Linked DNA regions of Styela clava. The protein of the gene in region 1 purifies or fractionates together with the protein of each later gene. This does not show direct contact. Links are inferred from orthologs where the notes say so. Each region holds a gene or a part of one and is shown on either strand. Other genes may lie near its edges.

The links. The genes of interacting proteins can lie anywhere in the genome.
Region 2: the proteins of uncharacterized protein LOC120342158 (region 1) and regulator of nonsense transcripts 2-like fractionate together in Homo sapiens (co-fractionation; 3 studies listed by BioGRID and IntAct). This does not show direct contact. The link is inferred for Styela clava from reciprocal best matches to the Homo sapiens genes CASC3 and UPF2.

Annotation. Positions count from the first base shown.
Region 1 is NC_135252.1:6,798,713-6,806,675, forward strand, and holds the start of uncharacterized protein LOC120342158, read left to right. Parts: upstream 1-4,431; 5' UTR 4,432-4,531; coding exon 4,532-4,624; intron 4,625-5,067; coding exon 5,068-5,127; intron 5,128-6,889; coding exon 6,890-7,060; intron 7,061-7,642; coding exon 7,643-7,800; intron 7,801-7,963. UniProt on the Homo sapiens protein: Required for pre-mRNA splicing as component of the spliceosome. Core component of the splicing-dependent multiprotein exon junction complex (EJC) deposited at splice junctions on mRNAs.
Region 2 is NC_135256.1:14,128,989-14,137,161, forward strand, and holds the start of regulator of nonsense transcripts 2-like, read left to right. Parts: upstream 1-4,981; 5' UTR 4,982-5,088; coding exon 5,089-5,110; intron 5,111-5,634; coding exon 5,635-5,696; intron 5,697-7,321; coding exon 7,322-7,483; intron 7,484-8,173. UniProt on the Homo sapiens protein: Involved in nonsense-mediated decay (NMD) of mRNAs containing premature stop codons by associating with the nuclear exon junction complex (EJC).

The DNA of each region.
Region 1 (7,963 bases):
TTGTTAACACGGTGTCTCTCGTAATGTGAATTATATTTTATATGTTGAACCGCATGGAGTATTTCGAAATTTGTAATATTTCAAAGTATTTGAAAATCATTGCCTCTTTGTCATTATGAGCCTGAAATCGGCTTAGTTTTATCTGGCCTTTATTTCTATATTTGAAGAAATACTTACGTATGGTCCGAGCTGGGCAACTACTCATGTAACGTCGACCAATTGTGCAACGCGACCCGTTGACACCATGAACCACGTATACCATAAACGTCATTTAAATGCGCCATTCCGTTTTATGAATGCTATTTTATTAATTTTCCGCGGCTAATATTTGTCAGTTCGTTTGGAAAACGTTAACACTTACCAATCGAGGTTCCAATTATTTGCGCGATAAGAATCCTGTTCTTCCTGCGCTGCGTATTATAGCAGAGTCGCGCGTGTAGAATATACATTGAATTTGAAGCGCTACAATGTTTTTGCTTTTACAAAAGAAGGGAGGCTTGGAGGAGGCCCAGTCGGGAAGAAGTGATCAAAATACTGCAAATTTAGTTACTTTGAATATATTAAAAAATGAGAGCACTTCTAATCAGCCTATTGTTATATATATTGCATGGGTGGCGTTTTTTTCATTTTAAGCAAGATATATAAAGCACAAACAAAATAACATACCAATTTTTTTTTATTTTTGTTTTTGGGTACTGCTGACACTGTGGTTTACTACTGTTGTGGGCAAAAGAATACGTTTTCTCTCAGTTACCACTAAACTCTGTTTTCCTCTGTCACCTTTCTTTTGACACTCATTTTATGATGAATTGTTATGTTTGACTAATTTTATAACTTGTAGCGTCCGTGAGGTCTAGTGCTATTGTCAAAGAACAGCCAAGTCCGTCAAGTTGGGCTTTAGTAACCTACGTTAAAAAAACGGGATCGCGCGGCGCAAATTGATATATATATATATATATATATATGCGTTTTGTCACTGCTGTCATATGGCCCACGCTTGAAAATAGAGGTGTGTTTCACTAAAATAAAGGTACGAAACGTCTCTCCGGCAGATAAGGAGTTGCTTGACGCGAGTTGACATAACAAATCATTCTCCTTGGCTTCTACTACCTTTTATCTTATTGCTCCGCTCAATTTTCCTTTCACTTATCGCTCGATTATTTCGAAAAAAAACAAAGCGCGACGCTTTGACACGTACCGGTAATTCGCCTTGACGTTTATAGATACAATTTTGAAATTCGGGATTTCAACGAACCTAATTCCCCAATTGCAGTATAACAAAACATATCAACTTGGGTAAACGTGCATGAATTCGAACATCCATGACAATCACTCCTTCTACTTTTTAGTATCCATAAGTGCAGATTTCAGGATTTCACTCCAAAATGTGACGCATAACTAAATTAATGAAACAATCTCAGTTTCGTTCTTGAAGCAGTGTTAATTGGTCGTAGGCAAATGCTTTAAATTTTATTGATAAATCAAGCAGGGTGCCTTCCTTGATTTCTGCTATTAAAAATAACCACTCAAATTTATCGTATATTGTTTCGACCTGAATTGGATTTCAGGACTTGAGTAAACTCGGACTACAACCATTTCAATTGCCTTGTCTACTTTCTTACATATTCTGTTATTTATTCACTACTGCTTTTGCTTCAACAAAGTCCATACAACTTTCTACATCAAATATTAGTATATATGAACTGCCTCAGTGGTCAAAAATGAACGTGCTGTTTGGGGACAATGCCCAGTTTTTGGTTGTTAAATCGAAGTATTTCAACAATCATAGTACAGTGATACATCGTGTTTTGGATTCCGAATCAATAGCCCTGTATTCATTCAATGGAGCCGTCTTCAACGGTATGACATAGGTATTCTTGAACACTAGAGTTCATGAAAACAATCTGAAATTACATTGTTTTTGAAATTATAATGTCCAAAACTGTTGATTTAAATATGTAAATTCATGAATGCAGCGCCTCCACAGGATTATCATTTTTAAGGCGCTTAGCTTAGCAACATTTGGAATGAATATGGCTGGTAGCAGCAGTGCTGGTCATTAAAATTCTCGGAAAACCACCTATGATGCAATAATCTAGTTCTTACTAAGAAGAAGCTAAATAAAATACGAATGAGGCAATAATACACTCACTCATACACTGTATGCCGAAATGAAAAAAAACTGAAAAATGGAAAAAAAAAATTGTTTTGACAGACTTGAACCATCTTAATGCGACCCAATTTTACCGCTTGCGACCTATACTTTGGGAACCGCTGTGATGTGAATTATTAAAGAGTATTTGGCTCTATGCCTCCCTTTTTGTTAAATCCCAATGCTTCTGACAAGAACTGCTATAAGCTCGTTTGTTGCATTCCAAGAACATGGTACCAAATGTTCAATCCGGTGAAATGTTAATCAATATCATGGTAACCATTTTGATTCACGGGAGCCAGAGCTTCGAGAACAAAGAGCCGCATGTGGCTACGGAGTCGCAGGTTGCCGATCGCTGGTTTACAGCGTTGCTTATACTTCCAACCTAACTATATGCAGCGAATGCGCCCTTCTATCGCATAATAATCACATTCGTTTTGCCTATTTTGTGATCTGATAGTGAAGTTCACTCCAGCATTTCACGGATGTCTATAATAGACAATGAAGTGTGAATAAAATTAAAAATTATTTGCTCTGTCGCCGTCATCTAACAGAACTATCAGAAATACTACTTTATTATCCGGTTAACTGTCACGATAATATCAGATAGCAAAATACCTCTCGGGTAACCGGATATTCGTTATCCGGATAATCTGACGTTATGCTGGATCATCAGTGTGGATTTCTCGAATGAAAAAGTAATTACAAATTTTATGCATCGCTATAGATCTCGCTGCTACCATTGTATTTTTTAAACTGTTTTGTTAAAATTTGCAAGACTCACTCATATGCAGACATGAGACAAGAAGTAAATTAAAAATATTCTACTTCTACACTACACCAATCTACTGCCATGAAGAAATCGCTCAAACTGAAAGAACCAAAATGTTTAAAACCCAGTTTCTTAAAAATGTTTGATCGTAAATTAATTAGCCGAATATACTGTGATGCAGTAATATGCCAATAATGGAGAATGATGCCAAAATCTTATAATTGATTTAATTTTAAATAACTTGATTTCAGTAGTCGGAAAAATTAATATAGTTTCATAATGCTATCAATTTATCATGCTATCAAATGCAATAAAATGTTTATAAAGACATTGTAGTTTTGTTCTTCTCTGAACTTTATAGAATAGATTTGCTAGTTGTTCCTACCTGTATTCAATGCTCCATTATTGCAATATTAATTTTTGTACTACAGTAGGTAAAACTAAATTTTGGAAAATTGTATATAGCTCTTTTTTCTTACTTGGCAAGTTCATGATTCACATTCTCATTGATATTTATTTTGCCTTTTTTGTATCAGTCAAAATTATCTTCAGTGGTAGGTTGACCTTGCAGTCTTTGCCCGCCAATTATATTTTGTGCTTTTTTTCTTTGCAGTGTATAATTTCAATTGTTATGTATTCGGAAAGCAAGAGATCGAAAGACTGTTGGAAAACGAAGTTGTACGCTAATGCAAAGTGCAAACTGTCACAGTATTTTTCATACGTGAAAAATACTAACAAGGAAATGAACATGACCAAAACCAACGGCCGGCAAACAACTTGCCCAATGTTACCCAAGTTCATGTACGACATTTGTGCCATATTTGGGAAACGCGAAACAATGGAGTCTTATGGAAAATTTTTGTCGTGTTGTTGTACAGAACCGAATAAGTCAGCTATTAAAAGGGTTAGAATGAAGCCGAAGGGTGGACATAAACATTAAGCTTGATGCTACCTAAATATATGAAGCAATTAGAAATAAATAAAAAAGCTATACGTTAAATTTGGCCACAAACACAGAAACGCAAATGCAATAAAATGTCCAACAACCGGAACGCGGTTTCGTTGCGTTTCGACTACAGCTCCCCACTGAATGTAAATGTATTATAAATGTAATTTGGCAAACATAAAAGAATATCATCATGTTCGACTAAGATTCTACTTCAAAACGCGACCTTCAAAACATTTCTACCTAAAATATAAGTGAAAATAATTGGTATGTTTCAATAATTGTGTGCGAACTTTTCATAGGGCGCCTTGTTGGATGGCCGAGTATAATACGCACAAGATGGAATCCATTGTCTGAGCGTTGCCTCGCTTGTAATATATATACGCTTTGACCAAAACCAGCAACAACAACATAAAAAACAAAACGAATCATATCTACATTGGTGTCCAATAGATTATTATCTCTCCGTGTAAATTTCTCTAATTATCATAGTAAAATTTTGCCGAATTGGCTCATAGAGACTCATAGCACATCCGCGTCGTTTCAGGCTTTCAGCCACCAACAATCGTAAAGTTGTCGTTGTGTAGAAGCCTTTGGCACTGTTTCGACTTGAAGTCGATTTTGGGGTGTTCAATATAACATTGCTTACACAGATACAGGTATGTCACGCAGAAGGCGTCGTGAAGAAGATGTCAACGATTCGGAGGGCGAAGGTTTGGATGAAAAACCAGATGAGAAATCAATGAACGGCTCGGTAAGTACCGGTACCGTACCGATGGACCAGTGTGATTTGCAACAGCGGTACCGGCTCCTGGGCTAAGTGAATTCGTCAATATAATAAAAACTTAACTCTCGTCAGTTAAATACCTTTTAGTTTGTGGTCATGCGATGAAAAGAATAGTAAAGTCTGTAAGTAGTCTACTCAAACAGGAAAACAGTACCGGTATCAATGCGGATGATATTCGATGCTTCAGTTTTAAATTCTTGTAGTGAATGCAGGAATGGTATAATGAATGTCATATTTTGTAGCTATTTTAGTAAATCTGTATTTTTTACACTGGTTGAACTGAACTAAGTGAAACCTCAAAACAGTTGTGTTTTATTCCAGTACTGTATTCCGGGAATGATTTATTAATATAGATTGGTGATTTCTTTGGATTTATGATTTTCGTTGAATATCTTTTAACCATATTTTAGGAATCTGATATTGATGACGATGACCTCGACGTATCGGAATATGAAAGCGTAGATGAAGAGGTAGCTCATTATATTTAACAGTTATAATTGCATTAATCAACACACTTCACACATCAGCACATACCTATTTAAAGACATCAATTATAAGCATGAATACAAACTTCTACGTTGCGGGTCAGCCTGGCGGTGTGGTCCTTCCATGTTGCCACTATATGGCACACCGTTAAATATAAAGAAAGCTAATTTATTGTCAATTAAAATCAAAAATTTTTTAGAAAAAATTTATTCCACAGAAAAAATATTTTACTGTAGCATTCAAGAGTTTTAATTGAAAAAACAACAAATGGGAACAAATTTCATACACACAGATCACGAGATCTCACGCATCTGCTTTGGTGCCAGACGCCATATCTCGAGAGTATTTGTTTTATGTTTTATATATCTGAATATTGGAACATTCTTCGAGAACATGTGCTATAACAGGGCTTTTCAACTATTTTTATCGAAGGTCCGCAAACAAAACTTCAAAATTATTTGGGTCCGGTCTTCCAGAAATGATATTTCGGCATCCTTAAACGAGCACTTCCTCGACTGACTAATGATTAGTAGCAAATTAAAATTGTTCATTATGGTGTTATAGTTCTTTTCGTATATATTCAAAACTGTGAAAGTCATTTTATAATAGGAAATTCAAAAAGTGGGGCTAATGATCCAAAATAAATAATTAAGTGCGGTCCAAATCCAATACTCGAAAGGTCCGGATTCGGACCGCGGTCCGCCAGTTGAGTAGCCCTGTGCTATAACATGTATTAGAGAATCTATTATGTCATATTTTCCAAATATGAATTGGTTAGATGATTTCCAATCATTTTTTCCATCTAATTTTAGATATATTTTTCTGTAAATCATGAATGCCAAAGCGTTTCCAGACCGGGGCATGATTTTATAGTTTTCGGGAATTTTACTTTGTATTTTTATGTAGTAAGCCTTTTACTAACTTGTTTAGCTATTGTATTACATTCATATGGACAAATTATATGTAGGCCTACATGGAATTGTATAAAAGCCACAGAGGCTTGCGAGTATCAATAGAGAAGAACCTTATAAAACATAACAACAATTGTCGATTGGTAACAGAGTTTTTCTGTGTTTTGAGGGAAGAATGAGGAGTTTTATTAAAAATAGGCAAAGAGAGGAGTGTATCGAAAAAACTTCTCAACCACTCGATCTGTCTATTTGAATCTTAGACTGTTTAGAACAGGGGTTCCCAACCTGGGGTACTTGGATGGCAGTCGTGTTTTTGTGTTTTTTTTTTTTCAATGTCCTCTAACTGAGAAAAACTAAGTAACTACCAAAGGTAAATGTTTGCCAATTGAAACTCTGCATAGATTTTCCTGTATCTTGCGTTGTTGTGATTGTGACGCAACAATGTGAAATGCACGGCTTTGCAGCCAAACTGTGAAATCTCAGAAGACAATGTGCTGCGATCATTGCAGAAAGTGATATGCATATCGAAATTTGAAGAGGTTACAAGAATTCATTAGTTAGGCGTAGGACAAGGGTAATAACATTAACGCGAACAGTTAATTTAGTCACAGCAGTTGGTCAATAAATTGTCGTAGCAGCAAATTGTCAGACAATATATCACAACTTTGTTTGGTTTCTGATTACTGAGGGTTCGCGTTGATTGTTTCGTGACTCGGGGGGTAAAAAGGTTGAGAACTCCTGGTTTGGAAGAACCATGCGTCTTTTCTATTTTCGCTTTACTCGACCCGGGCTTTCTCTCTCGGTTTATATTAATATTGTTTTTTTTCCTATTTAGGCTCGGCATTCAATAGATGAAGAATTTGAAGAAGACGACCCTGGAGGAGAACAACCAGAAAATGATAACGAAAAAGTAAAGGAAGATCAAGGCAAAGAACATGAAAACATAGAAATAAAACGGGAAAATGAAGAAGTTTCTGAAACTATAAGAGAGAGTGGTGATGGAAAAGTACGTGTGGTTGTTTCTCAAACATTTAATCTATCTTTGGTTTGGGTTCAGAAATCAATAGCTTTGAATTTATTTTGACTAATACTAAACAGATGGTACTAGGACATTGTGTATTAAACTGCATGTCCTTTCATTGAACTGTAGGTTCTTTCTCCGGTACTCCCATAGTGTGTGTACCAGGATAGGATTAGGACATAATTTTATTCAGATTTTCCTTATTTCAGTTCTATTATAAGTTAGGGGACTGTCTGTGTTAGCCAAATGAATATACCAAACGCCCATAGGTTTCAATCCCTTTACACAACTTGAGGTAAAAAAGGCGAACAAAATTAGTTACCTCCATATTGGTACACGCACTTCTGGAGCGCCCTTTCTCCTTGTCTACCTCCTGCTTCGAATTCTTGTGTCCTTTGCCACAAGGATGCCCAAACAATATTCTATTAAAGTGATGAATAACGGATTTTTCCCACAAAATAGCCAGTATATTGTGAGCTTTCGTTAGATCATAGTATATATTAGTTTCATTATCTACCAGTGTATTAATCATTTATTTATCGTGTAATTTTTTATCTCAAATAACAGGAGCAATCTGATAATGAGCAACACAAGCAAGAAGGAAATTTAGAAGCTGATAACGAAGAAAAAGAAAGATTGAGAAAAGAAGAAGAAGATCCTGCATTTATTCCAACAAAAGGAGCATTTTTTCAGCATGACATGAGATCCGAAAACCAGTCCAAAGGGTAGGGCTAAGGATTTATTATGTATGTGATCTATGTGTGTATGAGCCTGATATTCATGTATAACTTGCCATGTTTTCACTAAAAGACTGGAATTCAATGATATTGTTTGATTTATGGTATAACCGGTATATAACCTTTTAAAATTAAACAACTGATGATACTG
Region 2 (8,173 bases), on another chromosome or scaffold:
AAACACTCGTTATTATATAACTGGCGCTCGGTGTTCAATTAGAAAACTCATAAGCCGGGATGTCCAATTTGAATTTAATGTTAATATCGCGACCTTCGAATATCGTTATTCGTGTTTAAGAGAATATCGAATATCACCCACACATTCTAGAGCCGCCGTCCTACGTTCAAATTAAAAGCATTTTTCAAATATTTTATTTCGTGGCTAATCGTAATCGTCGACGCAATAAGTCAAAGCCAACATGAAAGAATATCAATCAGCACCGACCAAAAGAAGGCCTACCTATAACCGTCGAGGATGTTTTTTTACTTTACTATTTTATATTATTATACAATTGCTATCATATATTTTGAGACAGTCTAGGACTCTAGGCCCTCTAGGGCTAGGCGGTCATGTCAATATATCTATAAAGAAATTGTGTTGTTAAACAAAATTAATATCTGCGTAGAGGGATAATTGTGTCGGAATTTAGTTTATCGATGTCGTCGGACTAAATGACACTCGTACTTGACGACAAACAGTCAGAATTTATACCCGTGCCAAAAGTCCATGTGCCGTTAATAAGGACCCCAATTCCACTGTATGATTTAAAACTGGGTGCCTAATTGCTTTTTGTTATGTGCCGTGTTGATATATTTCTTCATAATTACTATGTAATATTAAAAATGTCAATATAAAAATTTGACAGCGAAAATAGCTAAAAATACGTGAATCATATTCTCTCGCGGGGGTAGGGACATGTATGGCTCATAGCTCACGATCTCTCCAGACAAAAAATAAATTAAAAAGTAGTATTCCAACTTATCTTTTAAAACATTCTGGACCATATCAAAAACGTAAATATATCGGAAATATCGGCCTTAATCTAACCGATACCGATACATGGCCGATACCGAAAAAATGGCCGATATTGCCGATACCGATACCCGATACCGATACATCGGTACATCTCTAGATACACCTCAGTGGAGCGCACCAACTCAAAATCCGGAAAATGACGGTACAGAGATGCCGCTGCTTGGACTCTTGGAGCTGGTTAACCGTTACGGGACCGTAAATTTGGGAAGGGGGATTGTTTGGGAGTCAACATAATATATGCTGATACTGAAGGACTTTAACCATAGAACTTGGGCGATGGAGTGATGGATGGAGTTAACACAGGTAGCAACTCTCACAGAAAACTGACTGACTGAGCAGGTAGCGTAACACACGGTACCGGTACTGTGTCTTACGTGTACGGTACGGTAATAACTATTAATGAGAGCGAGTTGGTTAACTTATTTAATATTTACCTGTACCGGTACCTTTCAGTACAGCAGTAAGATTAGGCTTACCATACGTCCCGGTTTAGCCGGGACAGTCCCGGATTTGACAAGCTGTCCCGGCGTCCCGGCCGGTTGACTCAAATGTCCCGGTTTGTCAGCACGGTTTTCATGGGTAAAAAATTCAAATTCATTAATATTACAAATTTTTTTTAACGGTGACAGCCCATTTACCACTGTTTTGCGACACACTTTGCTAGTTCAGAGAGAGAAATCGCTCTATTGTTATGTCACAATTGGTATACGTTTTAATGCGTTTTCTGGCGTTAACTGCAATGTCGTTAAGTTGTCGAAATGCCAAAAAGAAAGTACAAGTTTTCTGATGAGTTGAAGAAAGATTTACCTTATTTGAAGCAAACTGAAGGAGGAAAGGTACACTGTACGCATTGCAGATCTGTTCTTCTATTAGTCATGGCGGACGTTCAGATGTCAACGATCATATCCAAAGCAGGAAGCACAAAACAATAACATTGAAGCATCGACTCGACTGACCAATTTTGCGATAACAAATTCGGATGATTCTGTGTCGTTGGCAGCCGACATTTACCTATCACACTGCTATTCATGACCAAAGTTTTGACTGCACCTCTAAATTGATTTCAAATTTTTTTGAGGCTAAATTTGCATTAACTTGTAAATATACACAGTTAGAATTTCTGATGTCCGCTGTTTGATAAGCGGATTCGCTGATTTTGCACGTTTAGCCAGAAATAAATGAGAGTTGGTGCATTTATCCGTTGTTCTCCTCTGAATTTAATGATGATTTACTTCAAGCTCGAATGGCAACAAAACGCAGAAAAGTTGATGCTAAGTGCAAAGGGTTCAATGGCGCTGAAAATATTCAAACGGAATTTTTTGAGATGCAATGAGGAAATAAATCTATATTCTATTCGAGAGATGTATCACTGCTTGATTTTTAATATAAAAACTATCATTCGTTCAGTTTCAACTTTCTAAAAATATGTGCGGCCCGCCAATGACTCGCAACCCTTAATTTTGGCCCGCGGGCGACAAAAGGTTGCCGACCCCTGCCGTAGATGTTGCAAATATTCTGTCAGAGGTGAAGCTAAATTTGCAGGGAAAAAATTTGTATTTAAAAAGAATGTTTGCGATTTTTACGAGAAATGTCTATCGAATATAGAGCTGCACGATGAAGCCTACAATGCTGCCAGGCCACACATATGGACAAATTTGAAGAGTGAAATAAACTGGACTGAAGTGTTTGGTCTGCAAAATTGATAAATGATATATTTGGTTAGCTGATCAGATTTTGAATAGCGATGCACTTTTACGAATACTGATAAAGAGATATTTATCTGAGCATGGTTCAAATGCAATTTGACTTACTTTGCCGGTTGAAATTAAGTGGACAAAGATGTTTAACGTTTTTTTCTAACAGAAATATTAGCATTTCGAATTTGCAGCAAATTGGTTGATTTTGTTTTTCGGAAAATCGGCATCTGTTAAAAGGATTTTTTCCATTGTTAAAAAATTTTGGTCCGAAAGCAGGTGCAGAATGCCTGAAGAAAATATAAAACCACTCCGTAACCTGCAAATTTAATGGTGATGTCTCTTGTTATCAGTTTTATGACAAAATCAAAACAAAAATTTTTGAGAAAGGTTCCATCTGCGGACAAATACTTTTGGTCTAAATGAATAATACAAACTAATTTTTTGTGTTTTTTCTAATTCAATGATCAGTAGAGATTTACAGCCGTATATACCCGCAATGGCATGGTAGACGTTCCAATATTATCAAGACTGGCAATCGACCGAATGTTTGCCAAATCGCACCGTCCCGGTTTTTTGTTTCAGATTTATGGTAAGCCTAAGTAAGATGCCATATGATCGTATGAATGAGGTTATTCTGACTAGTCCATGCATGGTTGGAATTCAGTATTTAATTAAAGTAATTTCAGAACATAAGAGTGCCGGTACTGGTACGGCACCGTACGCATTTTACCGTACCAAAGCTTGCGGTTTTAAGTGAAGACCGGCGACGATGGATTGCGTTAACCAAAATCCAAAGTTGAGTATAAGTACGGTACCGGTATGTTCTGATTTTCTCCAATAAAAAACCATACCGGTACACAAAACATAAACAATAAATATTAGAATCAAGTCGGTTTGAGCTCAGCCTGAGATGCCCAATTTCTGAATTTTGAAATTTAAAAGAAATGCCTATTTCAGTATTCCTGTATTTTGATGAATTTACAGATTTAAAATGGTTATATTTATTTTTAAATGTCTGAATACCGGTATAGGTCTGTTGGTAGGCTGTGGCTGGGCTACAGTATGTCATTAGATTAGAAATAAGTTACAACACCTGCATTTAAAAAATTATTATTGACATCTGATTACTGGACTGTCTGATGACGACCAGACCAAAATAAGTTTGGATTTCACCTTTTTTTAAAAATGTTTACATTTCAGCATTTGCCATCTGTTTGTTTTCCCATAGTGATGAAAGAAACACTACTACTACACTGTCAGTATGGCACATGACATTGTCTTGTTTCGGAGAATCCCATTTTGCCGATGAACAGACACCCCTATTTTTGAGAACGTCTTTACATTGTTGTCTTTCAATATCGGTAAAAATATAGTGCAATAAACTAAAAAAAAGCTCAATCTAAAATCGCCATCATTGAATTTCTGGAGAAAAAATAATTTATTTATCGTGGCATTCAAAAAACAGCAATTTTGGTCACATGACGGCTGCGATTAATTTAGATTATTATCGAGACAAGCATGGCGTGATATGAGGCATTTGCCGTCGGGCAGGAGGCCCCTTGTTTGTGAGTCATATGGAGTGTTTTTTTTTAACCAAATGACTGGATATTTTTGGAATTTGGAAACTGATAAATAATATTTATCCAACTCTCCGACTGTTCTATATTTTCATTACCAAATTCTATTTCTATCAATTTACAATAAATTGTGCAAATTTTCAAGTTGAACATAGATATTCAGCAAAAATATTGTTTTTGTTTGTTGGAATAGTAAATTATTTAACCTCAAAACTATCCTAAGAAACAAAAAAATGACAAACACGGTATCTGTATTTTTGCATTAGTATTAGATTTTTCTGATCGGTCTTGTCACAATGATTTCTTTGACAAAGTGTGAATTGTAACTACAAGATCAAGTTAACCAAGCTTTGGACGGTGTAGTCTGGCAATCTGCTTTCACCCCTTTTAGTCAGCACATATAGTACGATGCGGTTCAACAAATCCAGGAATAGCCCCCACATCAAAATACATCAAATATAACAGTGAATACATACCCCTCCGTTACCACTTACCAGACAGTCTGGCCCTCTATATCGGCACAAATAGGCAATCCCGCACTGAGAAATAAACTAAAATGAACGACTACTGCATGCCGCGATTGATCAAACTTATTGAGACAAGCATGGTATGATCTGAGTCTGATGCATCTGCTGTCGTTCCTGTGCCCTACTGATAAATGGGGATTGCAATGGTGGCCATACGCAGCATAAATAACATTGTTTAATAATATTTTGGCTCGATGTTTTTATCTTGATCAAAAGAGGTACATCTATTAAATATAGCAGAGGCTGAAAAATTAGGTTATTTATATGCAGCTCTCAATGATATTTTTTTTATTTTGTTTTTTTATGAATTATAATATAATTTTTCAGTTTGGTATTGTAAAGTGGAAAATTAGGAATAAATTTCAATGTCTAAATGCTGAGTGATATATATATAACAAGTCAGCATAGAGGCAGCAATTACTGTTCGTCATGGACAATAAAGATGAGAAAGGTACAGTTATGGATTTTGTATAAAATACACATATTTTAATGGAGGTTTATTTTTATATGTTTAAACAGATTAGAATCATTGATGAACTAGGTAAATTCTTTTTTGTTATGATCTAGTCGGGAATGTTGAATCAATTTGATGTGACTTAATCTTTTACCTTTTTTAAGAGCATTGCTCTGTGGAATTTGTTATCATTAAACTGGTAAATCATTAAACCGATAACATTGACATCAACTATTTTAAGTTAGCATTAAATTAAGCAATGCTCAAACTCAACTTTTCTATTTGAGAACTGTTGACAGTCATTTTAAAAACTGCGACTTTTGGTCATATATTGGGCAAGAGACATTACTACTCGTAGAATAACATCTAAACATGTCAAAATAATTGCAATATGGCGAATTCTATGTTCCTTGAATAGATCATGCAGTTATGTGATAGTTTAAATTTTTATTAGTTTGGCCGATAGACTATGAGCAATGAGCTTATTGTCAAATTTCTAACTTTTTATTATCTTTGTGTAGATGATAAAACTGAACTTGGAGGTACCACAGAAGATGATGAGAAAAAGCTTCAAGAGGAGAAGGTTTGAGTTGATGAAAAAATTTATTTTCAGTAATATTTGAAGCGTTGATGAATCATTTAGACCAGGGGTCTCAAACTCAACTTACCTGGGGGACGCCGAGACAGAGCCCTAGTGAGTCTGGGCCGCATCAGGTTTTACACAATAAAAGCATTAAACTTGAAAAGTTAAATCTTTTCCACTATTTTTCTATACACAAAACATGTCAAAAACATAAATGTAAGTAATTCCGCGATGGACCTTTCCCCGAGCATCTACTTCCTTGTTTATTCCGTAACATTGGCTAATCAGCAAGGCCCAAAAAGTGACGTAACAATAGACTTTTTCGCAGACGCTCAGACACTTGTCACTCAGAAAGATTTTCAGGCATGTTTGTAAACATTACCTCGTTTTTGCATGCTATTTGTTAGTTTTGGGTTGTTTTTCAGAAATTTGAGTATGAATCAAAGAACTCAATAATGATTCTGATTGCTTGGGCGTCGTAGCCTAATTGTAGTAATCAAAAAGTAATCTAGAAATAGCTGTGATAGACTAGGCCAAACTTCTCTACTGGTACTGTTGAAAAACAGGTTGTTAAATGTTTTGAATCAAAATGATGACGTGAAACATATACCCCAGTTTATAGGCCTTAACTTGCGAAGCCACCTCTAAAGTAAGCACCAAGAATTTGCAATGGTGAGGTAAAAGAAAATTTTCTTTGGGGTCAAAGGTCCATCGAATATCATGCCTACAGGTATGGTACTAGTAGGTTACCGTGCCGCATATGCCATTTCGGGGGATAGATTATAAAATATTTAATTTGCTCTACTTGTCCTGATCATATATTAAATGCATCAATCATTCTAACTGAGCTGAGTGACTTACGGGACGCACTAACATTATTAAACTTTCATACCAAGGCGGGGGCCACAAACTATCGTCCTGCGGGCCACAATTGGCCCGCGGGCCGCGAGTTTGAGACCCCTGATTTAAACATTGTCCCGACTGTCATCATTCTGAATCCATATCCATCATGCTAAGTGTTAGGAATAGGCTTGGTGCTGCACCGTCATCTTTCCTTGGATACATATGTGAATGCTATCCCATCCTATATCGTGGAATCAATCTTTCGACATATGTTAGTTTTTTCTAACTATTTCTATGTACTGCACTTCAAGCAAAAACTTATAGTTTGTTAAATACCATCAGCCAAGGCTATTATCATAGCATCAATCTTAGAATAGAGCAGTTTGAGGACTTTTCCTTGGTCTTACTTATTAAATAATCAAAATGCCTGAAATCATTTTTGGTTTGAATATGGTAAAACTATAATGGGCAGCTTTGGATGATACTATTCAGTTTTTAAAACATAGTATCACAAGACTGTATATATTAATTTATAAATGACATATTGCAGTATTGGATTTATATATTAATGTTTGTTAAGCAAAGAAAGAATGCATAGATATATAGAAATTTCACACTGTTTAGAAGCCATATCAAAAATTCAAAAACCCACCAGCCTACAATATGAGAGGGTTTGCTTGTTCCAATATCTCCTTATCTGTATTATCCTTAATAATCTGTTTTATTGTTTGGAAATTTTTTCTACTGCTCTAATCCATGTTCAATCAAACTATAAATTTCAGGAACAAGCCTCCAACTTATTGAAAGAGACAAATGAAAGGAATGCCGCCAAATCAAAGTTCAGAACTCAAAATCAGAATGCTGCTGATCATCGACCTGATGAAGATTATTTTCACAAACTTGATTCAAGTTTGAAGAAAAACACTGCTTTTGTTAAAAAATTGGTAAGTAGTTATATAGACAGATTTTTATGTTACTGCCCATTCGGTGAAACTTTGTGTCATTTTCAAAGAAAATGTAGTACAGGCAGAGCTGTTGAGTTGGGGGAAAATTCATAATCAACTCCTGGGTGTTCCAGATGTGTGTGTACCAATGTGGAGGTAACTAATTTTGTTCACCTGTTTTACATCAAGTTTTATAAAGGGGGCAGGGGGTATATTCACTCGGCTAACACAGACAGTCCCAGAACTCGTAATATAACCAAAATAGGGAAAATCGGAATAAAATAATGGCCTAACCCTAACCTGGTACACACCCTATGGGTGTACCCAACTCCTTCCTGACTCTGGGTCGAGGAAATATTGACTTCGATTTCTGACTAGGTTTAAGAAATTTTGACACGCTTCTAGCTCCAAATTGGAGGAAATCAACTTTCAATAACAAACAATTTGGTGTATGCAAGTATCCTTCAACAGACTATCAAAAATTAATGCTGTTTAAGTTTCTGTAAAGATATTCAACTTTTCTATATCACTGCTGAAAGTCTGTCAGTCTGGAATTCCAACATCGACTTTGAAGAATTCACAATTTTGACCGTGACTCTCGACTCAGGGGAGTTTAAAAATGTAGCTCTTAGCCTCTTACTCTAGCAAAACATGTTGAAATTTTGAAACTCCCGCCTCCGAGTCTCAACT